Linked DNA regions of Notamacropus eugenii. The protein of the gene in region 1 purifies or fractionates together with the protein of each later gene. This does not show direct contact. Links are inferred from orthologs where the notes say so. Each region holds a gene or a part of one and is shown on either strand. Other genes may lie near its edges.

The links.
Region 2: the proteins of ASF1A (region 1) and CDIN1 purify together in Homo sapiens (affinity purification with mass spectrometry; 3 studies listed by BioGRID and IntAct, counting the BioPlex papers as one, with this or other methods). This does not show direct contact. The link is inferred for Notamacropus eugenii from reciprocal best matches to the Homo sapiens genes ASF1A and CDIN1.
Region 3: the proteins of ASF1A (region 1) and IPO4 purify together in Homo sapiens (affinity purification with mass spectrometry; 4 studies listed by BioGRID and IntAct, counting the BioPlex papers as one, with this or other methods). This does not show direct contact. The link is inferred for Notamacropus eugenii from reciprocal best matches to the Homo sapiens genes ASF1A and IPO4.
Region 4: the proteins of ASF1A (region 1) and CABIN1 purify together in Homo sapiens (affinity purification with mass spectrometry; 4 studies listed by BioGRID and IntAct, counting the BioPlex papers as one, with this or other methods). This does not show direct contact. The link is inferred for Notamacropus eugenii from reciprocal best matches to the Homo sapiens genes ASF1A and CABIN1.

What each region holds. Positions count from the first base shown.
Region 1 is NC_092873.1:200,819,383-200,826,470, reverse strand, and holds the start of ASF1A (histone chaperone ASF1A), read right to left. Parts: upstream 3,014-7,088; 5' UTR 2,337-3,013; coding exon 2,228-2,336; intron 1,764-2,227; exon of another isoform or gene 1,162-1,763; coding exon of another isoform or gene 1,119-1,161; intron 1-1,118. UniProt on the Homo sapiens protein: Histone chaperone that facilitates histone deposition and histone exchange and removal during nucleosome assembly and disassembly.
Region 2 is NC_092878.1:21,610,017-21,617,350, forward strand, and holds the start of CDIN1 (CDAN1-interacting nuclease 1), read left to right. Parts: upstream 1-4,319; 5' UTR 4,320-4,946; coding exon 4,947-5,047; intron 5,048-7,334. UniProt on the Homo sapiens protein: Plays a role in erythroid cell differentiation.
Region 3 is NC_092878.1:9,093,691-9,101,019, forward strand, and holds the start of IPO4 (importin-4), read left to right. Parts: upstream 1-4,318; 5' UTR 4,319-4,430; coding exon 4,431-4,499; intron 4,500-4,589; coding exon 4,590-4,676; intron 4,677-4,913; coding exon 4,914-4,993; intron 4,994-5,076; coding exon 5,077-5,118; intron 5,119-7,065; coding exon 7,066-7,195; intron 7,196-7,285; coding exon 7,286-7,329. Other genes in the region: TM9SF1 (transmembrane 9 superfamily member 1), read left to right, coding at 704-1,325, 1,721-1,906, 3,105-3,378, 3,513-3,906. UniProt on the Homo sapiens protein: Nuclear transport receptor that mediates nuclear import of proteins, such as histones, RPS3A, TNP2 and VDR. Serves as receptor for nuclear localization signals (NLS) in cargo substrates.
Region 4 is NC_092875.1:1,491,778-1,499,516, reverse strand, and holds the start of CABIN1 (calcineurin-binding protein cabin-1), read left to right. Parts: upstream 1-4,727; 5' UTR 4,728-4,864; intron 4,865-5,465; 5' UTR 5,466-5,531; coding exon 5,532-5,534; intron 5,535-5,817; coding exon 5,818-5,910; intron 5,911-6,013; coding exon 6,014-6,127; intron 6,128-7,739. Other genes in the region: D-dopachrome decarboxylase-like, read left to right, coding at 95-167. UniProt on the Homo sapiens protein: May be required for replication-independent chromatin assembly. May serve as a negative regulator of T-cell receptor (TCR) signaling via inhibition of calcineurin. Inhibition of activated calcineurin is dependent on both PKC and calcium signals.

The DNA.
Region 1 (7,088 bases):
CTAGAGAGGCTCTTCATTCATGTCCTGAGCTCCTATAATCCTTATAAGTTGAGACCTAAAGTAGGAGGCACCACCAAAAATATGTTTATGACGTAGGAACTCATACTGAACTAATAAGTAACACTTATTCCTGACAATTCCTCCCTGCACCCCCCTTTTTAACCTGTTCATTTGCTTTATACTTCATGCTGATGGTGGCTAAGAGGCTACAGCTGTCCAAAATGAACAAGGTACTTTTGAATAATGAGAAAACGGAAAAGCAATCCTGTGTTTTGCTATTATTTAGCTTTATTTTAATGGTTAACTTTTAAAACCTGGCCCATTTCTTGATCCATCAAGTTCAAAGAGCTGTACACAAAGATTAACAACTAGTTTGAGAACATCAGGAAATGTTAGTTAATAATCAAGAGAAAAGATACTTTATGAAGTTTACTTTGATGTGTCCACATGAGAAATTCAAAATAATTCTCAATTAAAATTTAGCACCTACAATGTAGTACATCAGTAACAAATCTGAAATAGTATTTTCACATTTTGGAAATTAAAAATTACAAAAAAATTCGAGAACATTTTTTAAAAGACCCATAAGGTAAATTTGATGCTATCTGAAATGGTATATATTCTGCATACCATACAGATGAAAATAAATATAATGAAATTTTCCTCTTTCAAAAATAAAATACTTTAAGCCCCTAAAATAAATGCTCACTACAACAAGTCACTTAACCTCCCTGGGCTGAGTTTCCTGATCTGTAAGGGGGGGGGCGCTGGCCTAAATGATTCCTCCTAGGGCTCCCTTAGGCCTCTGAATCCTATGGTCCTACTTCAAGCCTGCACTCCAAACGTGTCTTCCCTTACCCCCTTGTCCTCTCACTACGAGTCTGCGGAAGGGCAGTGTTCGCTTCGCGTTTGCCGATGGGGTCAGCACCCCAAGGTGGCCGGGAGAGCTCCGGCGCTCTCCCCCGGTCTGCACAGCCCACGCGGCGAGTCCTGCCAGGGCGCTCCACCTAACTCTGGAGCGTGCTGAAACCTCCAGGAAAACGTTTGCTCCTAAAGTCATTTTAAGAGTTTTGTAAAATGATTACTCCCAGAGTTATTAGTGCTAACAGTTAACTAGCCTTGATGGCGCTCGGACGTTGGCAGAGAGCTCTCCTCGAGCATCCCGGAGTCCCTCTTGTCCTGGCCATCCTGCGTGGAGGTGATTCCCTCCAGAGCCTCTCGAATTCTGTGCGGCTGTCAGAGTCCCCGGGGAAGGCTGCCTGGCACCCTGCCCTCCGCCGGGGTGGGCAGGGGCAAGAGCTCCGAGGGAGGGAGCGTGTGGATGCCCGAGCCTGTGCCCGCCTCCCACTCGACTCAGGAAGCCGGAGAGGAAGGCACAAGGCTTGCCCCGGCTTTTCCTGCCGCTCTGCTTAGGCTAGGAGGAGCCAGGGCCCCCGGAATGAAGTAGTGCAACTTTGAAGCGAGTGCTGGCCTTGGCCAGTGGGAGTCGGGAGGTGGGCAGGTGCCCGGGGGACGCCGGGGCTCCGGGGGTAAAAGATGGCTCCGTTTTCGAACTCTCCGGCGAGCAGACACGCGCACACACCAGGCTCAGCTCTTTTTTTAAAAAGCCTCCTCTCCACCGCTCCCCCCGGTCCCAGGCCGTGCAGACAGGGGGGTCTTGCCCCCTCTCCTTCACGGGTGTCTCCGCTGGAGGCTCGGCCGAGCCAGCTCCCCGCGTGGGAGCAGCCGAGGGGCGCGGAGGCTCGCGGGGGGCCGCGGGGCTCCTCTCCTCCCGTTAACCCTTCTCCCACACCCAGACAAAGCTGACAACATGGCTACCACCACTCAAACAAGTTACTTGCAACTTCAGCCCGGCTTCGCGAAAAGGCAGCGGTGGGAACCCGGGCGGCTTCCCCGCGCTCCCCCTCGGTCTCCCCGCCGGGGCGAAGGGCACAGTAGCGAAACGCACCCGCTCCAAGTTTCCCTCCGGCAGCGGCAGGGGCAGGGACAGGGGCAGCGGCCGCCGCGCGCCCCGGCCGAAGCCCCGCCGGCCCCTCGGAAGCCGCAGGTCTGCAGCAGCCCATCCTCCTGCTGCTCCTCCTTCCTCTCCTCCATCCCTGAGATGCGGCGGAGGCTAAGGCTGGGAAGGAGCGGAGGGAGAGAAGAAAAGAACCGCCAGGCCTGGGGAAAGTTTTCGCGGAGAAGCGCCCCGGGCCGGAGCCCCCCTGGCGGGACCCGCGCTACTCACCTTCCGACAGATCCTCTATGCACTCAAACGTGATCTCGAACTGAAAAGGGTTGTAGAACGGAGAAGGGTTGTCCAGCACCACCACATTGTTCACCTGAACCTTTGCCATATTTTGAGAGAGGCAGAGGAACCCCGCACAAACAATAGGAAGGGGGTGTTCTTGCAGCGCCGCCGAGTCCAACGTGTTCTGGCTGGGCGCAGCCCCCGCTCCAGCACCGGCCCCGGGCCAACGGCGGGCGGCGGCGACTTGGGAAACTTTTGGTCGGCTTTCCCTCCTCGTCGTCGCGTCCCCTTCTTCTTCTTTTTGTATTTACACCGGGAAACAACTCCACAGTGTTTTTGCAGCTTTGCTATTTCCCTCAACTACAGCCCATTCTGCTCGGCGAACTAGCAGCGTGGGCCCCGATTGGCTGCACGCTGAGCTCTGACCCTCCTCCTCCTCCAGCTCCTGCTCCGGGAGAGCAAGATGGGCTCCCTTCCCCCGAACGGGCTCCGGAGGCTTCGCGGCTGCTCCACCTGCTGGCGCAGCCGAGGACAAAGGCGGAGAACAAAGTGAGCCGGGCGGCAGCCGGGGAGGAAGGCCGGGGAGGGCTCCTCCGGAGCCGAGCGGGGCAGAGCCGAGCGGGCTGGCGGCCCAGAGGCGGAGAGCGCCGCGGAGGGCCGGGAAGCCCCGCCCCCGGGATTGTTTCCACGCTCCTCGCACGTAGGGCGTGTCGGCCAGTAGTCAGCCGGGATCGGGGAGGGGAGGGGACTCGGCCGGAGCGGGGAGGGGGAGGGGGAGGGAGGAGAGAAGAGAGAGGGAAGGGGAGGAGGGAGGGGGAGGGGGAGGGGGAGGGGGAGGGGGAGAAGAGAAGGGGGAGGAGGGAAGGGGAAGGGGGAGGAGAGCAGAGAAGGCCGGCGTTCTCCTCTGAGATGGAAGGGCTCTGTCCAGGGCAGCAGAGCAGTGTGCCCAGATACACTAGGGGAATATCCACACGCGTGGGGGAAGTGCCTTGTGAGTGTGCATGACGTCTTAGCAAACAAGACACCTTCCTGACTTAAAGTCCTGAGGCTCGCAGCTCTGCAGAACTACCATCCTCTCCAGTCTCAGGGGGCCTCCCATCCAGGAGTGCCTAACCTTTTCTCATTTCACTGACAGCCTGGCAAAGCCTATGCAAAGCCTCCTTTGCAGAATCTTGTTGTAAATGCCTAAAATAAGATATGTAACATGACAAAGGAATCCAAATATTTTGAAATATCAAAAAAAAAATGTAATCCAAATTCACAGCCCCCCCAAGTTGAGAATCCCCTCCAAGTCTTTCCAGTTCTAGAAAGCATTTTCTAAATGGAAAGTTAGAGATGGAATGAGATTCATCTCAATGTTTTGTTGGGGGGGGATGAAAATTAGAAGGGGGAAAGGAGGAAAATTGGAGAGATGAGAAAAGCAAAAAAGACAAGCATTTTCAGCCAGTAGATGTAATTCAAAATCTGGGATGCAAACTGTTAGTACTTTTAGACATATTTTTAACCCTCAGAAGCAGTTAAAAGAGCCAGTGCATGGCCAAAGCCAGTCCAATGAGTGAAAATGTTGATTTCATTTGTAGCCCTTTGTTGCTCAAATGGGCTTTTTAATCTTAATATATAATATTATAATATAATTATAATATAATCATCATATGTTTTGTGAGATTTTAGCATTTTTAACTTATTAGCCGTTATTGATATGGCAAAACTAATGTGAAAATTAGTGTTCATTTATTCCATTCACAAAGCACCTATTGTTTTAAAATATTCATGATAAGAACTACCCAGCCCTAGTTCAATTTAAAGTAAAATAATCTCATACATATCCTACTGGATGCTTGGTGGAAAGTATCCTGGGTTTAGAGTTATAACCCCCTGGGTTCTAGTCCTCATGCTGACATACTGGTAAGGGGGACGCTGGATACTTAACCTCTCCTTCTGCTAGGCAACTCTGGAAGACAAGAAATTGCAGAGAAGGTACCAACCTAGAAGTTCCTCCATGTAAGAATTCCTTATATCAAGGAAATCATAGATTTATTCTCTATTCTCCAAGAAATTAGCCCATTAAAAGTATAGACCTTAGAAGCCATCTTGTATAACTGCATCATTTTAAAGATAAGGAAATTAATGATTCCAGAAATATTGAGACTTGCCCATCGTCACATTGGTCACAGGTAGTAAGTAAAAAAAAAAATCAAGATTCAAACTTGGCCCCTTTGTCTCCAAATTCACATTTCACACACAGTCTTCCAAAGTAATAAACTAGATCTTCCATAAGACCCATTCTAGCTCCAAAACCCTCTGGCAGTTTCTTTGCAAAAATGCATGTCTTTGAATTTAAATAGATATTATTCTTCATACCCACAAAGAATTGTGATGATCTTTGCAAGATTTTTTAATTCCAAAGATCTGGCTTTTGAAGTAGGGATCCCTTCCTTCATCCATATCTTGGTTCTCACAGCCTAGAAAGTAAGGTAGGTTATGTTCCATTTGGTGCTTAGTGGAGAGTGTGTCACAAAAGAATTTAACTGCCACATATAAAAATTAGCCAAAATGGTTTCCTCCTGGTGTTATTACATACAGCATATGGGTCAGAATAATGAAACCAAACTGCAAATGGTACTATATGTTTTGATGATAGACTCATATGAATAATAGTCCTCCTTTTTGTTGACAAGCTGACATAAGAAAACTGTGATAAATGTAGAAGCTGCCCTCTGTGCAGAAAGATACCCTGAATATATATGTAAAATGTCACTTTGCAAATGATTTTTTTTCTTACTGTAAATGTCTTATTAATGGTAAATAAAATTTCTAAAATGTTATAGTGATTGTAAGGGAAATTCTATGTCATAGGATCATGTTCTTAGAACTGGAAGAGACCTTAGACATCATTTAGAGTATAGGATCAAATCTGGGGTACTTGGTCCCCTTTGGATAGAAATTACAGTTAGGGGAACTTGACAAAAAAAAATTACACTTTAATTTTTACTGAAAATTTAACATTTCCTTCAAGTATTTGAGAATATTATTCAGAGAAGGGCCCCATAGTCTTTACCAAACTGCCAATGGAAGGTCCACCACACTCATACTGAAGAATCCCTAATCTATGAATCTTGATTCTAGACCAATCTCTTGTAGCGCCAATGTGATATTCACAGCGCCTATGGCAGCCTGAATATGCTAGCGCAATTCTGAATCTCGAAATACAACAGACTCTCCACATGGAAGACAGAACCAAAACATTTATTCAGACACCAAAAATCCAAATCCCCAGCACCAGAAAGCCAAATCCATCACAGTAACCAAGAAATCTATACACACTAACAATGCAGGGGGCACTACCATCCTTAAGCCTTCCCTCCTTAGACTTCCCACAAACCAGGTCTCTTAAACAAATCACAAACGAGCTCTCCCACTCCGACTAGTTGCAGCCTTTCCCAGCTCTGATTGCTCTCTGATTAACTTCCTCTCACCTTTTCTCTAGCTCCACCTCTTATTGTTCTACCCTTCCTGTTCCATATGACTTAGACTCATGTGACTCAGGCTTAATGGATGGGAAAGATCGTCCCATTAAGAAGCAAAATTACATTAACAATAAGCAGAAATGCATTATCAATACATACATCCCTTCTTTTTCACAAGAGGAAACCGAGACCCAGAGAGTTTAAATGATTTGTCCCACAGAGCTTAAATTCAAATCCAGTTCATCCTTTTCTAAAGCCAGTGTTTCCTCTGGTACTATGCTTCCTCCCTGTTGTTTTATAAGTATAAAATTATGAACTAGGTAAAAATAGAGTGAAATCCAACTCAATGAATTTTGTAATCTTACCTTGGAAAAGAGCCTTGTCTTAAAGCCAACTTGATGGGAAAGTCTCAGCCTTCTTAAGAAGTCTCATTAAGTCATAAAACTCCATTATGATGCTTATGTAGGGTGGAGAGTGGGGGAAATTGGCTCCCTTTGAGTAATGTCAGAATAGCTCAACTTTAGTTCAACCCATTCCCTTCATTACTTCTCAGCTGATGTGTCAGGATAGCACATTTCCTGTGTTTCTTGAAGATCACACTGATTATCATAGTGAGCTGGCATCTTTCTATAATACCAGCTCCTTACTGGCCCAGATTTTCTATTTTCTTTCTTAATTATCATTTGTTGTTGAGTCATTTTCAGTCATGTCCCACTCTTCCATGACCCCATTTGGGGTTTTCTTGGCAAAGATGTTGGAGTGGTTTGCCATTTCCTTTTCTAATAAACTGAGGCACACTAAGTGACTTGCCCAAGGTCACACAGACGGTAAGTATCCGAGGCCATATTTGAACTCTGGTCTTCCTGACTCTAGGCCCTGCCATCTATCCCTTTCATCACCTAGTTGCCCTAATTGTTATGGGCTGAGGATTTCAGAGACCTGCTTTTCTTGAATTCTTAACCAAGACCATCCCCCTCCCCATTCAAAATTCAATAAACAAAGGGTCAAAAAGAAGGTTATTTCTGTAAGTGTATTATCTATCCCATTATACTAGAAGGTCCATTTTGGAAAGGGATCTTGTCCTATTCTGTGTTGACTCTAAGTGATCTCTTATAAGTTAGCCCAATACTTTGTGCATTGATTCTCAGGAAACCTTTACTAAATGAAGGAATGACCAAAAAAACAACTCCTTTAACCCTTAGGGGAGCCACAACATTTTAAAATTTCTTTCTTCAGAACAACAAAGGATTTGTAAGCACTTTTATTTCTTGGTGGTGTTTGGTAAGTTTTGCTACTTACCTAAAAGCTAACAATACTTGTGAGACTTGTTAGAATAAATCTATGGATATTTTTGGGAGGGAAGAAAGTGGAGGACTGAGGAGAAGAATGAA
Region 2 (7,334 bases), on another chromosome or scaffold:
CATCCAACAATTATGTCACTTTATTTTCTAGCCTACACTGTTAAAATGGTTTACTACCTCTGGGGTTCTAATCAAATCAGAGACATACTGTGTCATGTGCACTTTTGTTTTCCCTCTAAAGTCTTCCTTATCTTTAAAAACACTGACTACAATTTACTAACAGTACTAACTACAGTCATCTTTCTCCTCCCTTTCATTGAAGCCATGGAGATTAAATAACTTGCTAACGGTCAATGGTAGTAAAGTAACAAAGTCAGGATTCACACCCAGGACCTCTGACTCTAGAGTTTCTACTACAGTACTTCCCATGTAATTATAATAATAATGATGATGAAGACAGGTACATATGTAATAGGAACAGAAAAGTGACTATGAGGACCAGGAGTAAGAGGAAAATAAAAGAAAATAAAATAATCCAGATTCATCAAGGAATAAATGGTTCAACTGAACTGATTAATGAAAATTGGTTTTGCTTTGGGCTTCAGAAAAGATGTCTACATGCAATTCCTCTACATACTTTTCTTGAATTCCTGAAATCTGGTTTCTGACCTCATCACTCAAATGAAACTTCTCTCTTCAGCTACTATTGATCTCTGGGGGACCAGATCTAATGGCTTATTCTCACTTTTCATCCTCTGTGACTTCTCTGCAGCTTTTGACATTGTCAGTCATACTTTCCTCCCATGAATTCTCTTCTTTCTGAGTTACTGTGACTCTGTACTCTGCTGGTTCCCTTCCTTCCTGTCCAATCTCGAACTTTTGCTGATTTGCTGAACCATCTCCGTTCATTAACTGTGGGAGTTCCCAGAGGTTTTATTCTGGGTTCTCTTCTCTTTCTAGACTCTTCTCCTTTGATGATCTTATCAGTTCCCGTGGGTTCAATTAACATCTCTATGCAGATGACCTCCATATACAGTCCTAATCTTTCTCCTGAGCTCCATTTTTGCCTCATAGAGTGCCTGTTAAATATTTTTAATGGGATGTTCCAGAGGCATCTCAAACTTAATACGTCTAGAACCGAATTCAATACCTCTCCCTCCCACTCCTAAATCTACCCCTCTTCTGAATTTCCCTCTTACTGTCAAGGACATTATCATCTTTGTAGTCACCCAGGTTCATAACCGTTGTCTCATCATTAATTCTTCACTCACAAATATCCAATCCATTGCCAAATCTTGTTTATATCTCTGCACCTTCTCTTTCATGCACGCAATTCTTTCCACTTATTTAGTGACCTCCCTAAATCCATTCCTCATCACCTCTGCCTGGACTACTGCAATACCCTCCTATTTGGCTTCCTCGCCTCAAGGTGTTTCCTACTCTAATCCATTCTCCAGAGCTACCTGTGATTTTCTTAAAGGGCAGGTCTTGATTATACTAACCTCCCTCCTCCACCCCTAATCAATTAAAGTGACTCTGCTATTACCCTCAGGATCATGTATGAACTCTGACATTCCCATATCTCCATAACCTCCCCCTTCCTGTGCTTTTAGTCTTATTCATAATTCCCCTTCCAGCTCTCTCTTTGATCGTCATACTGATCTATTTGTTGTTCTGAACATGCAACATTGCATCTCCTATCTCCCTATCTTTGCACTGGCTCCCTCAAGGCAGGAAGAAATTCCCTTCTCACTTCAGCTTCTTGAAGCAGAAAGCAAGGAACTGCTTTCCTTCAAGACTCAGCTCAAGGGACATCTCTTACATGATGTCCTGATCCCCCACTTCCAAGAGCACTCCTCCTCCCAAATACCTTGTATTCTTCTAAATTTCATGTTGTTTCCCCTATTAGAATATAGTTTCTTTTAAACAACTTCAAAAGTCTTGGGAACTCTGATCTACATGATGGTACCCACAGCTCCAGGGGATTTATGATGAATCATGCTATCTACTTCCAGAGAGAGACAATTAATTCAGATTATAGTTTGATGGATAGATGGATAGGTAGATAGATAGATGATAGCTAGATAGCGAGACAGAGAGAGAGAGAGAGAAAGAGAGAGAGAGAGAGAGAGAGACTTGGCTAAGGTGAGAATTTGCTTTGCTTAACTACATGTATTTAACAAATTTGTTTTTCTTGCTTTCTCAGTGGATGGTGGAGGAATGGATGTCAGAGGAGAAAATTCAAAGAACTGAAAGTAAAATAAAATTGAATGTTTTTTTTTAAAAAGGTAAGCTCTTTAGGGGCAAGGATCCTTTCACTTTTATCTTTGTATCCCTAGAGTTTAGCACACAATGCCTGGAATATGTGTTTAGTAAATGCTTATTGATTGATTGATTTGATCATTTTAATTTTTCCTGTTCCTTAGAAAGCTGATAGTGAGGAGTCAGGTAAGAGGGATAATGGGAAGCTATCAACCTGAAAAATAATACCTGATGAAAAATGTGTGCTGATCTGGGTTGATGGGGAAATTTGTTTTTTTGTGATGAAAACGATAAGTCAATGGCCCTGTGTTGAAACCCGTCCCTTTCCATTCATCCCTGCCCTACTTCTCTATACAGCTTTTAATTTTATGACCCTGGATGAGTCATTTAACCTATTCGTTTCCATTTTCTCGTCTGCAAAATGATGATAATGTCTGGTGCTTACCTAGCACAGTTCTTGTACGGATCAAATCAAAAGGTAAATGAAACATTTTGTGAACTCCACAGTATTATATTTAACAAGCATTTATTAGGTGTCTATGGTGTGCCAGGTACTGTGTGAGGAACTAGGTATAAAAAGGTAACAATTTCAGTTATTTCATTATTGTCATTTGTTACTAAGCTCCTGTTGGCTTCTCTATAGTAAACTAAGCTTACTTTTCTTGGGTTGCTTACTTATAATGAGATTTAGGCTTCGTTGCTTTCTACCTTACGCTTAGAGTCACTGAAAGAAACTTTCTACTTGTAAACATAAAATATTGTGAAGGATGATTATATCAACAGCTTTGCTTTGCCTTTCTAAATTATCCATCAGTAATATTTTATTGGGTATTCAAGTGGTTTTAGATTACAAGTCACTGAACAGTTTTTTTTTAATATTCTGTAACCAATTATCTCAAAATTTTCTCCCCCAACCAGAGGACCTGCATGTGCAAGAGTGTTTATTGCTCAATCACAGATTCTTAAAGGAGACTCATTTAGGTCATTTAGTCTGTGTTCTTCTGGGTTAATGCCAAAATAATCTTCAGGATTTGGGACCAAATAGTGAAATGACTAGCAAAAATTAAAGGTGGCTTTTTTCCTTCAGTGTTGTAAAGCTGAGTGTAGGGGATGGAGCTGTGTGAAAGCTATTTAAAAAAATAATTACTACAAACCTCCCTAAACTGATGTTTTCTATCAAAATCTTACTGCTATGAATTGGGTACAAGGAGATGTGAAGGGGTAAGGAAAAGGGGAACAAGCAGCTTCTGCTTAGCATCAAATAGCTTTCATGTAAAAGTAGTGGCAGGGTCAGCAACACACTAGCCAGGTGGCAACTCCAGGCACCGCTGCCATAAATAAATAGTTATGCACGGGTGTCACACAGCCAGACCTGGATACAAAGCATATGGGGGAAAAAACATCCTGATGTAAACATTTGGCAGAAAGCTATATGAGTACAGGACGGTCTCTATTTACTGGATTTTGTGACAATTAAAAAAATAAAAGGAAAGGGAATGAGAAGGAAACTTTTAAACACGAACTGAAAAGTCCCCCAAATTTCCTCAATACTTAATCTAAAGGGAACCTGACAAGCTAACATCTGTGCTTTCTGTTTTAAGTATCATTCAACCAAAGTTCAAGTACTTTCTTCCATTAAACAAAACTTCTGAAAAAAAAAAAAACAGATCCATCGAAATTAATGCCCCCACCCCCACTACTTTCCCAGTAAAGTTAAGTGTCAGTGTCCAGAGGGCTATTTAATTTTCCCTAAGATTTGAAATCGTAGATCAAAGCGCTAGAAGGGACCTTGGAGGTCATTTTAGTCCAAATCCCTCATTCTAAAGACTAGAGAACTGAGGTGGAGAGGTGAAGTGACGTGGAAGGTCCCTCAGGTGGGATCTCACCCCCTGGCTTTTAACTGCAAATCCAGCCCTGTCACTGTGCCAGTGAGAAAAGTTGACTTGTTAAACTGTGACTGAGAAAAAGCCGGCTTGTAAATTAGTCTGAGAAGCCCCGGTCGATGCCTAGATTCCTAATACTGGCTCGACACTAATTTTCCAAGATGCAAAGTCAGTTTCTCCGTTCTGGCTGCTCGATGTTGGTAGGGTCCTCAACGCTCCTTAAAACCGAGGCACCTGTGGGGCCATCCTCAGGTGCTGGGGATTTCTCTAGGCGTCGCTCTGCTCTCCCAGCCAGGCTCTGGGGGGAGTCCCTCCTCACAGCCCTGCTCCCCACCTCCCCGCACACCCCGAGCAAAAGCGAACTCGGACTCCAACGCGTTAACAACCGCTTTCCAGGGCTCGGCTGAGCACCGACTATCCTGTCCTGCCATCAAGGCACTTTCTGGGCATTTTTTCCCCCTTAAGGAAGTTCTGGGCGCGGGGTTCAGAGTGGACACTTCCCCGAGCCGCCCAAGCCCAGCCCAGGAATGAAAGATGGCAACAGCGCGGGCTTCGAGGTGCTGGAGTATCTGGCAGCCAGGCGTCTTGCAGCATTACTTCCTGGTTGCTTTTCCCTTAACTGACATGGCGCCTACTGGCCTTCACTTGCGCGCTCTGCGGCTGCTCAGAGGGCAGAAGTGAGGGCAGTCCCGCGTAAAGCCCGCGCTACTGCTCCTGCCGCCGCCGCCACCGTGGCCGCCACCGCGGCGAACCTGGGGATCGCTGCCGCGTGCCCCTCCTCCCCGCCCCCGGCGGTGCCGCGTGCTGCGCGGAGGGCGGACGGGTCCCCAGGGTGCGCGGTGCCAGCTGTCTCCAGCCCCTTTCGGGCTGCAGCGGCCCCTGGGTGTCATTTCACTCCCCCAGCCCCTTCCCGGGCCAAACATGATATTGACCAAGGCCCAGTACGAGGAGATAGCTCAGTGCCTCGTGGCTGTGCCACCTACCAGGCAGAGCCTGAGGAAGCTGAAACAGAGGTTCCCCAGGTAAGTCTCCCGCTCTTTCTGCAGGGTCTCCAGGTGCTACAGCACTAGCGGGCACGGACAGTGCTGGGGTCGTAGGGACGCCAGGTCATTCGTTGTTATAGGTAGGGATTATTGGCAGTGTCACCATACCCTTTATCTTCCACTGAAGATCCCCGAAGTACTGTAAGCGCTTTCTATCCTCAGGGCTACAAAAGAGTAACCACTCAATAAACCCTTCCTGGCGAATGAATGAATGAATGAATGAATGAATGAATGAATGAATGAAGAAGAGAAATTTTGGAGGCAACAAGAAACTCACTGAAATATATTAGAGAGTAACACAATCAATACTCCCGGCGTTGTGGGGGTCTCGAGGGATACAGTAGCAAAAGTGAAACTCCCTCCAGGAGTTTACCAACTAGCTAAGATTTTACACGTGTGAATCTGTAGTTGATACAATGTAACTGTGAAGGCATTTGCAGCTGGAAATCTGAAAGACTTCTGGTAAAGTTGGTTCTGGAGCTGATAAATGAAAGAAACCAAAAGATTCTAAAAGGGAGAGGTAAGGAGAGAGTGCATTCCAGGCATTAGGATTTAGCAACACAGAGTATCTTGCTCTCTGTGCTCAATACAATCTGGTGGCTTTCTGGGACTGTCATGCCAAGATTGTCTTGTGGTTATAGTCTCTTAATTCCTTCAGATAGACTTGAGAGCTGAGGATATCAGCTTTAGTTTACTAATAAGGTAGATATGAATAAGCAGATGCAGCAACAGCTTGCCATAGTAGGTAGCTTGCTGATCTTAGAGTCAAGAAGACCTAGGTTCCAGTCCCATTTGTGACATTAGTTGTGTGGCCCTGGGCAAGTAATTTAACCTCTGTCCCTGTAACTCTCGGACATCTCCTAAATCATAGATTGGATATATCTGGTGAGGAAGGAAATTTCCACAACAGGTGTTGCCTAGGAGGAAATCTCAGATCTTGTATTCCTATATTTTTGTATGACTCTCTCTCCTCCCCACCTCCTACCAAATAATAATTTTGCCTGCGTTTAATTTCCCAGCCACTGTTTCTTGAAATTAGAATAACAGAGTTTGTAATACCCTAAAAATAATCTTCTTCAACTCTGATTTTACAAGTGGGGAAATTAAGACCAAATTTACCCAAGATTTCATGGTTAGTAAGTGGTAGAACTCACAGTAGAAGGCATGCTTCCTGACAAGTCAAGTACAGCCAAGTCACTTTAGTTGCTAGATAAAGATTACTGCTTTTCCTTGTGTTGCTAAGATAATTAAAATTTATCTGTATTCCTTTATCTTGTACCTACCCTTTCTCACCAACTTATTTTGTTTTTTATATTTTAGACACTCAAGTTTGCATTCTAGATAAATCATACTCAACTTTTTATTTTCTCACTCCCCCTCCATCACTATCCAACTAGTTGCCAAATCTTATCCACTTTACCTTTGAAACATCTCTACTATCTGTCCACTTCTCTTTATTCTACAATCACCATCCTACAGGGGCTTATCATGTCTCCCTTGGACCACTGTTATAGTCTCCTAATTGGTCTCCTTATGTCCAATCTATTCCCCCTCTAATCCATTCCCCATACAGTTGCCAAATTGATGGTCCTAAATCATGTCTAACCATGATGCTCCTCTGGTCAGGGAGATTAGAGGCTGCTCAGCCCTTCTATACTGAAACACAAAGTCCATTGGCATGGATAGCCCTTCATAATTTGGCTTCATCCTGTGTTTCTTTGTCTCTCAGTGTCTCAGACACACAATCCCCCCCCCCCCCCCCGCGCAACCCCAACATCAAACTGGCTATTTGACATTCTGTCTCTTGCCTTTCTGCCCCTCATGCCTGGAATTCTGTACCTCCTCCCCTCTGCCTCTTGTAACCAGTAGCTCCCTCAGGAAGCCTTTTCTGATTTCCCCCTAGTTGTTCCTAATCCTCAGTCACTGTGTGTTTATTTTGTATCCTATCAATCTATTTTGTATCCTTTCATTCCCCTAATTAGAATGTAAGATCCTCAAGGGCAAGAGAATTTCATGTTTTGTATCAGCATCCTAAGTTTTAACCACACTTCCTAGCACTTAGTAGATACTTTAAAAATGGCTTGATGATTTAATTTTAAAAAACAGACCCACTTCCCCCATCCCATTCTTTCTTAAGGCATTATTATGCTATTGGAGGGAGAGAGTATTTTCCTTTCCTAGACCTTATTATACTAGTATGATTAGTGATGAAAGATGCTTGTGCAATTTATCTTCAAGTTATGAAAATTAAAGCATGATGTGAACC
Region 3 (7,329 bases), on another chromosome or scaffold:
GCCCGCTGCCGTCCGGGGGGCCCTGCCCGGGGACCCCTGACACCTCCATGGCGCGTGGAGCGAGGGGAGGGCTGGGTATTGCAGTGGGGCAGCCTTGGAGCGAAGCTGCGAACCTCAGGTGCCCACCCGCCCTGCGGGTGCTGCTGGTGCTGCTGGGTTTGTCCCAGTAAGGTCTTGTCTGGCATCCTCAGGCAGGCCGTTTCACCCAGTAAGTCTCTTATACTGGTAGGAGCTAGCACGGACATCGTGCTTTAAGGTTTACAGAGGGCTTTACAAATACCTCATGTTGTCCTTGCATCAATCCCAGGAGGCAGGTGCTATTATCAACACTTTACAGATGGGGAAACTGAGGCTGACAGCTGTCTTGTGATCTGCCCAGGGTCACACAGCCAGTAAGTGTCTGAGACTAGATTTGAACTCCACTCACTCTATCCACTCTGCTGCCTTGCTGTCAGATACTTCCTTTTCTCCATATCAACCCTCTTTCCTATGTCCTCTAGTAAATCCTGCCTTAGGGCAGGATTCAGAGCTTGTGGAAACATGGTCTCATATTTTTTTGTCCTCTTCCTTTCTAGTCCTAAAACCAGAAGGTCATTTTCACTCTGGAGGATGCTCAGGAAATTGGACTGGTTATCATAAAATCAAGTTTTCCCTCCACCCTGTTCCTGAGAAGATCTTGAGCAATCCTATCTGTCTTTCATAGGTTGAACGCCTGCGTCAGGCCATTGAAGAATTATACTACTTTGAGTTTGTGGTGGATGACCTGCCAATTCGTGGCTTTGTGGGCTACATGGAGGAGAGTGGTTTCCTTCCACATAGTCACAAGATAGGACTCTGGACTCATCTGGATTTTCACCTTGAGTTCCATGGGGATCGAATTGTCTTTGCCAATGTCTCAGTTCGTGATGTCAAGCCCCATAGCCTGGATGTGGTACGGCCTGAAGAACAGCTGGAACTCACTCACACTTACAGTGTGCACTGGTCTGAGACTACAGCAGAACGTCGGGGTGATAGACGCCATGGTGATGATGGTGGCTTCTTCCCTCGAACACTAGAGATCCACTGGCTGTCTATTATCAACTCTATGGTGCTGGTTTTTCTTCTGGTGGGATTTGTAGCTGTCATCCTCATGCGTGTCCTTCGTAATGACTTGGCCCGCTACAATTTGGACGAGGAGCCAAACTCTGGCAGCTCCACTGATGACTTTGACCAGGGTGACAATGGCTGGAAGATTATCCACACTGATGTTTTCCGCTTTCCCCCATGTCGTGGTCTGCTCTGTGCTGTGCTTGGTGTGGGTGCCCAGTTTCTGGCCCTTGGCACTGGTGAGGGAAACAGAATTGGCTAAGGATATCTCCTTAGGGAATGGGACTATTGGGCCAGCTAAGGAAGACCTAGGTAGTGAGGCAATCTAGGGCTCTTCTTCTAAGGTGATGGGGAGGTGGCATGGCCTAGGCATCTCAAGTAGTGGTACTCTCTTGCTGAGAAGTGTCTGGTTCCCCTTCCTGAAAAGCAGGAGAGCTGCAAAGCATGTTACACCTATGGGTCTACAGGTTCAAGACAAAAATTGGTAGTTTCATTGAAGGTGTAGGGTGGATAAGAGGGAACAAATTCTTCTTTTGTAGTTCCTGTGTTTGAGTGAGGGAAAGGCTGATTCCTGTAGGACTTCTGGGGTTAGATAGGGAAGATCTAACGCAGGCTTCACACTGTTACCCTGTAGGCATCATCGTCATGGCACTGCTGGGCATGTTCAATGTGCACCGCCATGGCGCCATCAACTCAGCAGCCATCTTGCTGTATGCTCTGACCTGCTGCATTGCTGGCTATGTGTCCAGCCACTTCTACCGGCAGATTGGAGGCGAGCGTTGGGTCTGGAACATCATCCTCACCACCAGCCTCTTCTCTGGTGAGGCTCATACTCACCCTGGGTTGGGCCAAAATGGGCTTCAGAGGATGGTTGGCATGAGGCAAAATTGTATAAAAGTCAAGTTTGTTTCTCATGGTGTCCTTCCCTCTAGGATCCCTCCTAGTGCTTACATATTTTATGATAACTACTGAGGGCCCTTCACAGCAATACCTCAAATCAGGCCTGCCCTCCTAGGGCAACAGTCCTAAACTCTGAACTTTTCTAGTCCTTAGTTCAGGAGTAGGGAACCTGTGGCCTGGAGGCTATATGTGGCCCTCTGGTCCTCAAGTGCAGCCTGTTGACTGAATCCAGACTTGACAGAACAAGTCCCTTCTCCATCCTTTCCCTAGTTCAACAAAAATGTATTGCACACTTACCTTCTGTTAGTGATGTCATAAGTACTGAGATCAGTAGAGGAGCACAGATTGGAACTGTACAGAACCATACAGTAGTAAAATAGAAGTTCCCTGCCCTCAAAATCCTTACAGTTTGGTACATCTAAAGTCCAATAATCTAATCTAAATTTATTAGTGCCATGTCCCATTTCTACTGCAAGGCCTCATTTTTGATATTGTAATCATGCTGTTACAGTGAATAGAGGCTTTGACTTGGAGTCAGGAAGACCTGAGTTTAAATCCTGCCTCATTTACTAGCTCTGTGATCTGAACAAGTCACTCAACCTCCCTCACCTTTAGCTCCCTCTCTATAAAATGGGGATAGTTATAGCACCTACTTCAGAGTTATTGTAAGTTATTGTAAAACTAGATAACATGTAAGAGGCTTTGCAAACCTCAAAAACGTCATATAAATACTAGCTCATTATTATTAACAGATGTAGGGGAACATTAATCTCTCAGTATTTGTTTTGAACAACACCCTAAACTCAAAGGAATGTAATACTTGCAGGTGTGAATGTGATAGCAGACTTTGCGGGTAAGAGGGAAGAATTCAGGAACGTTCAGTTCCACTCACATCTCTTAAATCATCCTATTAGGCAGGCTTGGCCCATTCCTGAGAGTTACTGGTGAGTGGGAGGCAAGACCAAGGAGAAGCAGAACCGGTTGGTGAGGGTGGAAGTCTAGGGCTAGAGTGGCAGGTTGGCTCCCCCTGTCCCCCTTCGGGTCCAGTTGAAGTGGGTCTCCCCCAGAATGTGGCTTCCCATGCTGATCTCTGCCCTCCTGGGGGCCCATCCCTGCAGTGCCTTTCTTCCTGACTTGGAGCGTGGTGAACTCTGTGCACTGGGCCAACGGATCCACGCAGGCGCTTCCGGCCACCACCATCCTGCTGCTGCTCACGGTGTGGCTCCTGGTGGGCTTCCCTCTCACCGTCATAGGGGGCATCTTTGGTAAGAACAATGCCACCCCTTTCGATGCGCCCTGTCGGACTAAGAACATCGCCCGGGAGATCCCGCCCCAGCCCTGGTACAAGTCCACCGTCGTGCACATGACCATCGGGGGCTTCCTGCCCTTCAGGTATTTGCGCCTCCCACCCTGGGGCCCTCACTCCCCACGCGGAGGGTCCTGGCACCCCCCTGGCACGCGGTTGTCCCCTCCCCACGGGTGGGCAGAGCGCGGCCCGGCCGGCCCTGACGCCCCTCTCCTGGCAGTGCCATCTCGGTGGAGCTCTACTACATCTTCGCCACGGTGTGGGGCCGCGAGCAGTACACGCTCTACGGCATCCTCTTCTTCGTCTTCGCCATCCTGCTGAGCGTGGGCGCCTGCATCTCCGTGGCGCTCACCTACTTCCAGCTGTCGGGCGAGGACTACCGCTGGTGGTGGCGCTCCGTGCTCAGCGTGGGCTCCACCGGCCTCTTCATCTTCCTCTACTCGGGCTTCTACTACGCGCGGCGCTCCAACATGTCGGGGGCCGTGCAGACGGTGGAGTTCTTCGGCTACTCCTTCCTCACGGCCTACGTCTTCTTCCTCATGCTGGGCACCATCTCCTTCTTCTCCTCGCTCAAGTTCATCCGCTACATCTACGTCAACCTCAAGATGGACTGAGGCACCCGGCCCTCTGCTGCTGGCACAGCTTGAGCCCGCCCCGAGCGGGCCCGGGGGCGGGGCGGGGGCGGGGCGGGGCGGGGCGGGGGCGGGGAGGGGCTCCCCCCTGCTGTGTGCCCCGCGAGCCGCCGCCTCCAATCTAGAAACGTCTCTATAGAGAAGGACTTATATATTAGAATTTTTAATTTGCTTTTCATTTTGGTTCCGATGGTTTTCTTTTTACAACCGTCACAATAAAGTTTGGTAAGAAACCCTTACGCTGTCCGAGAAGGTGGGGCGGGAGGGAACCGCACGGAGCCGGCGGCTCTGGGCCCCGATCGGGCGGGGGCGCTGCGGGGAGGCCGCGGCCTCCCTCCGCGCACGCAGCGCTCCATCCTCCTGCCGGAAGCAGGGCGGGGAGTCGCGAAGGGCGACGCCGGGGCGGGGCGTGCGCGCGCCACTTCCGCCGGAAGCGGGTGTCCGTGTCTCCACGTGCGGCCCCTCCCCCTTCCTCCGCTGCCGGAGCTGCAGCCGCCTCCGCTGCCATGGAGTCCGGGGAGCTGGATCGGATCCTCCGGGAACTGCTTCTGCCGGACACGGAGCGAATCCGCCGGGTACGGGACGGGGCCCGCGGGGTGGGCGGGACCCACGGGCGGGGGACTGCCGCGGCCTAAGACCCGCCGTGTCCGCCCGCTTCTCCCCAGGCCACGGAACAGCTCCAGGCCGCGCTCCGAAAGCCCAGCGCCTTGCCCGCCTTGTGCGAGCTGCTGGCCCACGCGCCCGACCCGCAGGTGAGAGCCCCCGCCACCCCGGGTTTGGGAAACGTGCTGGCCCCCCGCGCACGCCCGACCTCTGACCCCGGGGCACCCGCTGTGGGGGGCTGGTCTTCACGCCTCGCTCCTTGACCCCCCGGGCCCCACCCGCAGAGCCCCCAAGCCTGGGTCCGTCCTGACTTGGGATCCCCTCCGTCATGGCCCGTCCTTCTCCCGTGCCCCCGTGCCCCTCGTCGTCCCCTCCTTCCCCCCCAGATCAGGCAGTTTTCGGCCCTGCTGATCAGGAGGCGCCTGAACACGCGATGGAGGCGGCTGGCGGTGTCCCATCGGGAGAGGTGAGGGCCGCAGGGGGGCGGGGGCGGGGCGGGGCGGGGCAGGAGCGCCCCTGCTGAGTGCTTTCCCCCCTCTTGTGTTCCAGTCTGAAGTCCCTGGTGCTGAGAGCCCTGCAGCACGAGAGAGAGTGAGTACGGGGCTGCCCCTTGCCAGCCGGCCTGGCGCATCCTCTGCGGAGGCCCTCTGCTTCTTCCCAGCCGGCCTGGAGCATCCTCTGCCCCTTGCCAGCCGGCCTGGCGCGTCCTCTGCCCCTTCCCAGCCGGCCTGGCGCATCCTCTGCCCCTTGCCAGCCGGCCTGGCGCGTCCTCTGCCCCTTCCCAGCTGGCCTGGCGCATTCTCTGCGGAGGCCCTCTGCTCCTTCCCAGCCAGCCTGGCACATCCTCTGCCCCTTGCCAGCCGGCCTGGCGCATCCTCTGCGGAGGCCCTCTGCCCCTTCCCAGCCGGCCTGGCGCATCCTCTGCTCCTTCCCAGCCGGCCTGGCGCATCCTCTGCCCCTTCCCAGCCGGCCTGGCGCATCCTCTGCAGAGGCCCTCTGCTCCTTCCCAGCCGGCCTGGGCATCCTCTGCCCCTTCCCAGCCGGCCTGGCGCGTCCTCTGCCCCTTCCCACCTGGCCTGGGCATCCTCTGCCCCTTCCCAGCCGGCCTGGCGCATCCTCTGCCCCTTGCCAGCCGGCCTGGCGCATCCTCTGCCCCTTGCCAGCCGGCCTGGCGCATCCTCTGCCCCTTCCCAGCCGGCCTGGCGCATCCTCTGCCCCTTGCCAGCCGGCCTGGCGCATCCTCTGCCCCTTCCCAGCCGGCCTGGCGCATCCTCTGCCCCATCCCAGCCGGCCTGGCGCATCCTCTGCCCCTTGCCAGCCGGCCTGGCGCATCCTCTGCCCCTTCCCAGCCGGCCTGGCGCATCCTCTGCGGAGGCCCTCTGCTCCTTCCCAGCCAGCCTGGGCATCCTCTGCCCCTTCCCAGCCGGCCTGGCGCATCCTCTGCCCCTTCCCACCTGGCCTGGGCATCCTCTGCCCCTTGCCAGCCGGCCTGGCGCATCCTCTGCCCCTTGCCAGCCGGCCTGGCGCATCCTCTGCCCCTTGCCAGCCGGCCTGGCGCATCCTCTGCCCCTTGCCAGCCGGCCTGGCGCATCCTCTGCCCCATCCCAGTCGGCCTGGCGCGTCCTCTGCCCCTTGCCAGCCGGCCTGGCGCGTCCTCTGCCCCTTCCCAGCTGGCCTGGCGCATTCTCTGCGGAGGCCTTCTGCTCCTTCCCAGCCAGCCTGGCACATCCTCTGCCCCTTCCCACCTGGCCTGGCGCATCCTCTGCCCCTTCCCAGCTGGCCTGGCGCATCCTCTGCGGAGGCCCTTTGCTCCTTCCCAGCCAGCCTGGCACATCCTCTGCCCCTTCCCAGGCAGCCTGGCGCGTCCTCTGCCCCTTCCCACCTGGCCTGGCGCGTCCTCTGCCCCTTCCCAGCCAGCCTGGCGCATCCTCTGCCCCTTCCCACCTGGCCTGGCACATCCTCTGCCCCTTCCCACCTGGCCTGGCGCATCCTCTGCCCCTTCCCACCTGGCCTGGCGCATCCTCTGCGGAGGCCCTCTGCTCCTTTCCAGCCAGCCTGGTGCATCCTCTGCCCCTTCCCAGTCGGCCTGGCACATCCTCTGCCCCTTTCCACCTGGCCTGGCGCATCTTCTGCGGAGGCCCTCTGCTCCTTCCCAGCCAGCCTGGCGCATCCTCTGCCCCTTCCCACCTGGCCTGGCGCATCCTCTGCCCCTTCCCACCTGGCCTGGCGCATCCTCTGCCCCTTCCCAGTTGGCCTGGCACATCCTCTGCCCCTTTCCACCTGGCCTGGCGCATCCTCTGCAGAGGCCCTCTGCCTCTTCTGCAGCTCAGGGCACGTCCCCTGGAAGGGAAGGTGGTGGGGATCCCCTCTAAGAGAAGGAAAGCAGCTGGGTCGTGAGCTTCATGTTAGAGAAGGAGATGGGGCGGTGGTAAAAGTGCTGAAATGTCTCGCCGTGGCTCTGACCAAGGGCGTTTTACATAGTAGTAGCTTTTCTCCGTGCTGTTGGCCCTTTTTTTATGGCTGTTCTCCGACCGACAGGCACAGCGTGATCCTCAGCCTGGCCCAGTTGTCGGCAACCATCCTGAGGAACGAAGGCCTGGATGCCTGGCCTCAGTTAATGCAGCTGCTCCAGTGCAGCACTCGAAGCCCCTGCATCCCTGAGAGGGAGGTACGGTTCATGGAGTTTGGGAGGGTTGGGACCCAGTCAAGGCTTGGGACAGCAAAGGGCTCAGTGTGTTGGGTAACTTTTCTTGGGCAGATGGGACTACTGCTCCTGAGTGTGGTGGTAACCTCAAGGCCTGA
Region 4 (7,739 bases), on another chromosome or scaffold:
GCCTTGGGAGCTGACAGGGCTCTGGGTGCCAGGGGCTGGGGGTGAGATTGACAGTGACTGGGGGACAACTGGCGGGTACTCTTCCTTCCTGCAGAATTAACATTCGGTTCTACCCCCTGGAGCCTTGGCAGATTGGCAAGAAGGGCACGGTGATGACTTTTCTGTAAGCAGCCCAGAGATGGTGCTGAGGGACCAGCCCCCACACAAACCAAGGATTCTCTGTAGGACAAGCAGAATAAAGTGGAGCCCTGTGTTTGGTTGAGCACTGACTCCTTTTTCCCAAGCCCAGAGGTGGAGGCTGATGGGGTGGGGGTTGGCTGGAGGTGTTCCTGAGAAGGTCCCATCCATGGTGAGGTCGCCAGCAGAGCACTGCCAGGCTCCAGATCCCTAACTAGGCACAATCTCAGCGAGGGAACAGCCATCCTCAGGGCTTCCACCATCCTGGAGGGCGGCTTGGCACAGACGGTTCAGATGGACTGACTCTTCCCCTCTTCCCTTGGGGAAGGACAGTAGATGTCTCCACACTGTCCAAAGCCCTGACTGTTTGTATCTGTAAGCACCCCAACATACACAGGGGGGCCTGCTGTCATAGTTTCTTAGATCTGCATTCATAAAAGGAAAGGCAACTTTTGAAGGGTTAACATTCACTTTAACCAAGCACATGTATCATTCACCTAGTTCAGGGGAGTCAGCACATTGAACTTCAAAGAAAATGCACAGAAATCAAAGATCAACAGACATGGCTTCCTCTGCCTGACCATAATCAATACATACATCACAGTTCAATAGACAGGTTCAACTGTTTGACCATAGTTGCCAGAAAGGGAAGCACCTATATCTGGGTTTTCAAGGTTGGGGGAGGGGGTGTTCTTTAACTGCTTCCTAGAGTCCTCTTCTCTCCAAACAAACAGTTTCAAAAACTAAGCCCCAAAATAAAACCACACTGCAGTGTCTTTAGAGCCAGAGGGCATCACATCCCTTGAGAACCTGTGCCTCATTAATTAACAAAAGGCCTGGACCTTCCTACAAATCTTCCCAGGCCCTACAATGGGTTAGAAGAAAGATCCTCCTTAATCACTTTATTCAGAGGCACTTTTAGTAAAACAGAAACAGCAAAGATTCCACTGGGCTTGGCCAAACACTGCTCAGCCCTGGGCTAGTAAATGCAGAAAGGTCAGGAGTGAACCTTGAGGGTAATGTCCAGTAAGCTAGAATCTGGGCCCATCCTTGGAGCTCATCCACAATCCTCTGGAGGCCTTGGTAGAGCCCAGGAAGCTCTTGTGAGGGGGATTGTGCAGTTGTGCCAAAAGCTAGGACAGTGTCCCAGATTGGGCCTGGGTTGCCTCAGTTTCCTCTTTTTCTTCCTCGTGAAACTGCCCCCCATGGTTTTTGTTCATGCTCCCATAGCCTTTTCTCCATCCTCCTCTTCCTGGTGGCCTCTCTTGTTGTCTTCACTAGTCCTCCCCTTTCAGTCTCTGTGATGAGGTACAAGCCCAAGTCAAGACCTTTTTCCCTTGGATGAGGAGGGCTTTCGTCCCATTACTCTGAAGGGCCCCAGGAAAGTCTGGCCTTTGGGGGGGAGGGGGCTCCTTGGATTCCACTTCCATTTCTCCCAGCCTGGATACTCCCTATCTTCTATTTAGCATTCTTTTGATATCTCTCCCTTTGATCCTATTACCAGCCACTCCCATCAAGATCCTCCCTCCATCTGTATTCACCCCAGGGTACCCTTCAATCCCCCACCGCCCCCATCAAGACCATACCTGGGGCCCCAGACTAGTTGGCAGCACCTGGATTCTTCCCTTCACCCCAGGGTACTGGTCGATTCCATCAAGACCTCTGGATTGCCCCACCTGCTTCTAACCCAAGCCCTCCATTGTCTGATGTCTCCTGATTGCCTCTAGCTGTTTCCCACCCTCGACCAGTCACCCCAGTCCCATTGAGGTCCTCCTTGGACTTCTCCTCAAGACCCTTCCTAAACCCCTCCTCCCATCACCCTAGACTTCCAGACCACCCCCAGATCCCTCCAGTCATTTCTGTATTTAAGTTTGTTGACCTGAAAACTTTATTAAGAAAAGGCAGCAGGCTAAATGCATACATTTTATGATTTAATTAATTAATTGATCAATTCCCTATTAAAGACAACGGTAACATAATGCATTATGGAGCCAGAAATGTTCTGGCTACCCAGTGCAGAAATCTTCTGACTTATATACATCTTGCTGTGAGAAAGAAACTCTCCTAATTAAGCAAACCATAAATTCAGTAAGACAAGACAATTAACAAAGCAATGTTGGTCACGCCTTGGGATTCCAGGCTGGATAAACATATGTCTCGGTGATAAGGAAATCCCACCACTAGTGAGTGGCAGGCTTCCTGCCCTAAACATAACTGACATAGGAAAGGGTAAACAAAGTTCAATAGAAATTACGACCTAAGATGTCTGTGTTTTCTTTACCATTAACATGCCATAACATAGTGTAGGTCTACAAATATTAAGATATGGAAAACGTCCCATTATTCAAGATAGTGTCCCAGGTTAAAGGTCTCCTTAAGGAATGTAGAGTCAGCCTTGGCTGGCTTTTGCTGACATAGGAAGAGGCACTCTCTGAGTTTGCTTCAGAGAGAACAAAGAGATTATTCCAAAATTTTATATTAAACATTATCAAGTTCCATCTTGCCTTCATGAAGGTGCTTAGGTTTAGTCCAGCTCTGACTCTGTCTAGCTGAGTTTCTATCTGACAAGCGTTACAAATGGTTAGGCTCCTTAAGAGTCAACCCAAGGTGGCGAATCTTTAATAAACTTTGTTTTCTTTGGCTTTAAGAAGGCTTGAGTCGAATTCATTTGAGCAGGACTTGGTGTGTTGGTATTTTGGGGTCCATAGCACCCTTGAACCTCAACATCTGCTCTTTGTGCCTGGTCCCTCCTTCCCCTCCTGTCATGAGGTGATGGTGTTTGCCAAGGCTCAGGCTGGAGCCCTCCTTTCCTTTCTACCCTCCCCCCCAAGTCTTGCCCATTCTCCCAGCTGGCATCTTCTGTGCAAATGACCCCCTAGTCCATCGGTGCAGGTTTCATCTCTCCAAACTCCAGCATCTCCAGTTGACGCCTTCTACTCTGATGGGGCCCAAGTTGACTTATGGCAAAACCAGAAAACATGGCAACAGGCCAGAGCTTTGGGCTCAGCTGAACAGGATGGAATGAAGTAGGAGGGAGACAATAAGACTTTCTTGTACTTGGGTGGAAAGGAAAGATCCCCTTCACAGGAATGAAGTGGGTGACACTGGCCCAAACAGTGGTGGGCTGGCTCCCGGCAGTGTAGGCTGTGGCAGCCTCAAAGCGAGCCCCATCACAGAGAAGAAGCATGGCGGGCAGGGGGGCATCCCAATGTACCCTGACCCTGGTGTACCGGGGGCCTCTGGATGGCAACCAGCATGGGGAAGGGCCTGGGCATCCTTAACTTGCAGAATGATTGGAGATAATAATAACTAGCGTTAATGTAGCACTTGAAGCTCTCCAAGGTCCTGGACATATCTCATCTGATCCTCACAGCAGCCCTGTGAAGGATGCACTCTCTCCATTTTCCATACGAGGAAGCTAAAGTGCCCACGGGGAGTGACCTGCTCAGGGTCATACAGCTAGGAAGTGCCTGAGGCGGGATCTGAACTCAGCTCCTGGTGACTCCAATGCAGCTCTCCTACTCACTGCAGCCCCTTGCTGCCTCCAGCTGAGACAGCTCAGAGGGACCACGATGGCTGCCACGCGGATGAGGGGCCACACCCCCAAAGAAAACGGAAGGGGACCCCAAGGCAGGGAGGACGGGGCCTCCAGTGAGGGTGCAGGCTGCAGAGAGCAGGCGGGCCATGGCGGGGCTGGGCACAGGGCACGGAAGGGTGTGGCAGGAAGGTGTGATGCCCGGCTCGGCAGGTCATTCCGTCTCATCTGACTCCTGACCCCACGGGGTTTCCTGGCCACTTCGTTCTGCAGCTCATTTGACAGATGGGGAAACTGAGGCCACCAGGGTCAGCAGCGCTCCAAGCTGGCTTCGCGCTGGGGCCTTGAATCAGGACCGGTGCCCTACGCACTGGGCTGCCCGGCTGTGAGCCGTGGGTGCGGGAGATGCTCCAGGGCGGCCGAGGGACCACGTGCCAGCCTCAGCCACGCCCCCTGGGGGGGCTGTGAGGGCGGCAGCTCCGGCCCGCTCCGGGCTGGTCTACACCATCTCCCAGCCCGGGGAGAGGGTCCTGCGGCCAAGCCTGAGACCGCCAGGGGGCGCCCCGGGGCGGGGGAGGTCTGACGGCGCCCCAGGTACTAAGAGGGGAACGGAGCAGAGCGCCCCCTTAGCAAGGCGGGGCCGTGCCTGAGGTCACTTCCTGTCTTGGCCCCTCCTGCTTCCGGCCCCCTCCCTCCAGCAGTGTGTGACAGACATGGGGCCCCGCCTTGGGGGGAGGGCTGCTTTTCTTCCCCGCCCAGTGAAGTCACGTCCTGTCTTCTCCCCGCCCCCTTTCTTCCTTCCGAAAAGAAGCTTCCGGCAAGCTCAGCTTTACTTCCGTTCCTGGACCCGCCCTCTGAGCTGGCTCAGAGGGGAAGCAAAGAAGAACGCCCCTCCTTCCTGGGCTAGGGTGGCGATGACGTAACCAACAGGACCCACCCTTTCCCCCAGTGATTGGCTCAAGGCATCCGGAGCAACAGCCAATCGGCGCGCCCGTTGTTGGCCGACTCCCGCTCCGGCTTTTGTTCATCCTTCTGCGCCTGTGCTGGAGGAGCGTCGGAACCTGTTGTCAGGACACCGGGCGGGTGAGGCGGGGGTGGGGCTAGTCCGGCCCCTACCCGCCGGGCCTCACTTTCCCTCGGAGTTAGTAAGGAGTCAGTATCTGGGGGCCAGGGCAGGGCGGTGCTCAAGGGGTAGAGAAGGGACGGGATGGGGGGCTGTCCCTGCGCGAGCCGCAAAGGCGCGGAGGCGGAGTGCTGAATTCTGTCTCCTCTCCATCCCCGCCCCCCAGCTGTGCCCATCCCTGCCCCGTCCCCCGTCCTTCCCCCTCAGACCGGCAGAGGCCGGTCCGGGAAGGGGGTCTCGGGGTCATCGGGAGCTGCGAGTGTGAGCGTGTGTTACGGCCCCCCCGGCGGAGAGGAAACTGAGGCAGGGCTGGGGGGCGGGGCTTCGGGCGCACCAGGCTTGCTCTGCCTGGTGCCCACGGGCTCCTTGGCAGGCTGGGCCCCAAGCGCCCGCCGGGTCCTTGGACGGGAAGCGTGTCAGGCCTTTCTGGCATTCCTGGGAGGCGCGGGCTGGGCTGAGTCCTCCCCGTGATGGGAGGGGAGCTGTCCTGGGGGAGGCTGTCGGGGAGGGGGGGTGTCCCGGGCGGAGCAGTCCCGGGTCAGGGGCTGTACCGGGGGGAGTCCTCGGGGGAAGTCCTCGGGGCCTTCGGCAGCCCCAGCTCCCATCCTCAGGGCTCTTGTTTACTCCTAGATGTGACCCCCTGCTGGGCAGGGGCGTGGTCCAGAGCAAAGACTCGGCTGCTGGCCCTCCTCGAAGATGGTGAGTGAGCTGGGACTCTGGGAGGGGCCGTTATCTTCCCGCCCCTGACCCTCTGAGACCGTGGCTCCAACTGTGGATGGGGTGTGCCCTCAGCTGGGCGCTCCCCCTAATGTTGGGGCTCCCGGAGCCCTCGTCCGTGGGCGCACAGCTCCCCCTAGGCGCCCCCGGAGGTCAGACCGGGCAGTCTGGGGCCCCTGTCTTTGCTGGCTCTGGCCTGGGGAGGGGGGGGCAGGACCACTGTGTCCCAGGGCCCCACAGGCTCCCTTCCCCGTGCCCTTTCCAGATCCGCATCGCAGCCTTGAACGCCAGCTCCACTGTGGAGGATGAGCACGAAGGGACCTTCAAGAGCCACAAGACCCAGACCAAGGAGGCACAGGTAAGCGGGCGGGGCCTGGCCCTGCTGCCCCTTCTGGCCCGACTGCTCCCACTGACCAGCCGGACAGCTCCCACTGACCGTCCAGTCCTTGTCTGGCCCTCAGGAGGCGGAGGCTTTCTCCCTGTATCACAAAGCCTTGGACCTGCAGAAGCATGACCGCTGGGAAGAGTCGGAGAGAGCCTACCAGGAGCTGCTGGAGATCCGCCTGCTGCGGGAGGTGAGCCTGTCTGGGGGAAGGGGGGGAGGGGGGAGGGAGGGGGAGAGGAAAGGGGAAGGGGAGGGGGAGGGGGGGAGGAGGAGGGGGAGGGGAGGAGGGGGAAGGGGAAAGGAGGAGGGACCCCCATTGCTGCCGCTGTGCACAGTCTGCTGCTTCTGCCCAGGCTGGTCTGAAACCACGCTCCTCATTTCTCCAGCACCTCTCACAGAAACCTGCTATAAATATTTTTGTACATGTGGGTCCTTTTCCCTTTTCTATGATCTCTTTGGGATACAGCCCTAGAAGTAGTTTTGCTGGGTCAAAGGGGTCTCCAGAATGATAGGATCAGCTCACAACTCCACCAACAATGCATTAGTGTTCCCATTTTCCTGTATCTCCAATATCATATTTATCATTTTCCTCTTTTATCATGTTAGCCAGTCTGATAGTGAGTAGTTTTGATTTGCATTTGTCTGATCAGTAGAGATTTAGAGCATTTTTTCATGACTACCTAGCTTTAATTTTTTCATCTGCAAACTACCTATTCATATCCTTTGAGCAATTATCAATTTAGGAGTGACTTGTATTCTTATAAATTTGACTCAGTTCTGTATATATTTTAGAAATGAGGCTTTTATCAGAAACACTGACTCTAAAAATAATTTCTCAACTTTCTGCTTCCTTTCTAATCTTGGTTGCATTGGTTTTGTTTGTGCAAAAACTTTTTAATTTAATCTAATTAAAATGATCCATTTCTCATTTCATAATATTCTATCTTTTGTTTGGTCATAAATTCTTCCCTTCTTCATAGATCTGACAGGCAAATTATTCTTTGCTCTCCTAGTTTGCTTTTGGTATCACCCCTTATGTCTAAATCACATACACATTTTGACCTTATCTTGGTTTACGGTGTGAGATGTTGTTCTATGCCTATTTTCTGCCATACTATTTTCCATTTTTTCTAGAAGTTTTGTCAAATAGCGAGTTCTTGTCCCAGAAACTGGGAATTTTTGGGTTTATCAAATAGTAGATTACTATAGTCATTTACCATTGTGTCTTGTGTACCTAACTTATTCCACTGATCTGCCTTTCTTTTGCTGCTTCATAATACAGTGTTAGATCTGGCGCAGCCTTTACATTTTTTCCCCCTGCTAATTCTCTTGATATTCTTGGCCTTTTGTTTTTCAAGATGAATTTTGTCATTTTTTCTAGCTCTATAAAATAATTTTTTTGGCACTTTGGTGTGGCGCCAAATAAGTAAATTAATTTAGGTACCACTGTCATTTTTATTAAATTAATCCGAGCAGTTGATATTTTTCTAATTATTTAAATTCTTCTTTATTTGTGTGAGAAGTGTTTTGTAATTGTGTTCCTGTAGTTCCTGGGTTTTCTTGGCACATAGACTCCCAAATGTTTGGTACTGTCTACAGTTACTTTAAATGCAATTTCTCTTTCTGTCTCTTGCTGCTGGGCTTTGTTGCTAATATGTAGAAATGCCAATGATTTATGTGGGTTTATTTTATGTCCTGCAACTTTGCTAAAGTTGTTAATGATTTCAAGTAGTTTTTTAGTGGATTCTCTTAAGTATGTATCACATCATCTACAAAGAATGATAGCTTTCTTTCTTCATTGC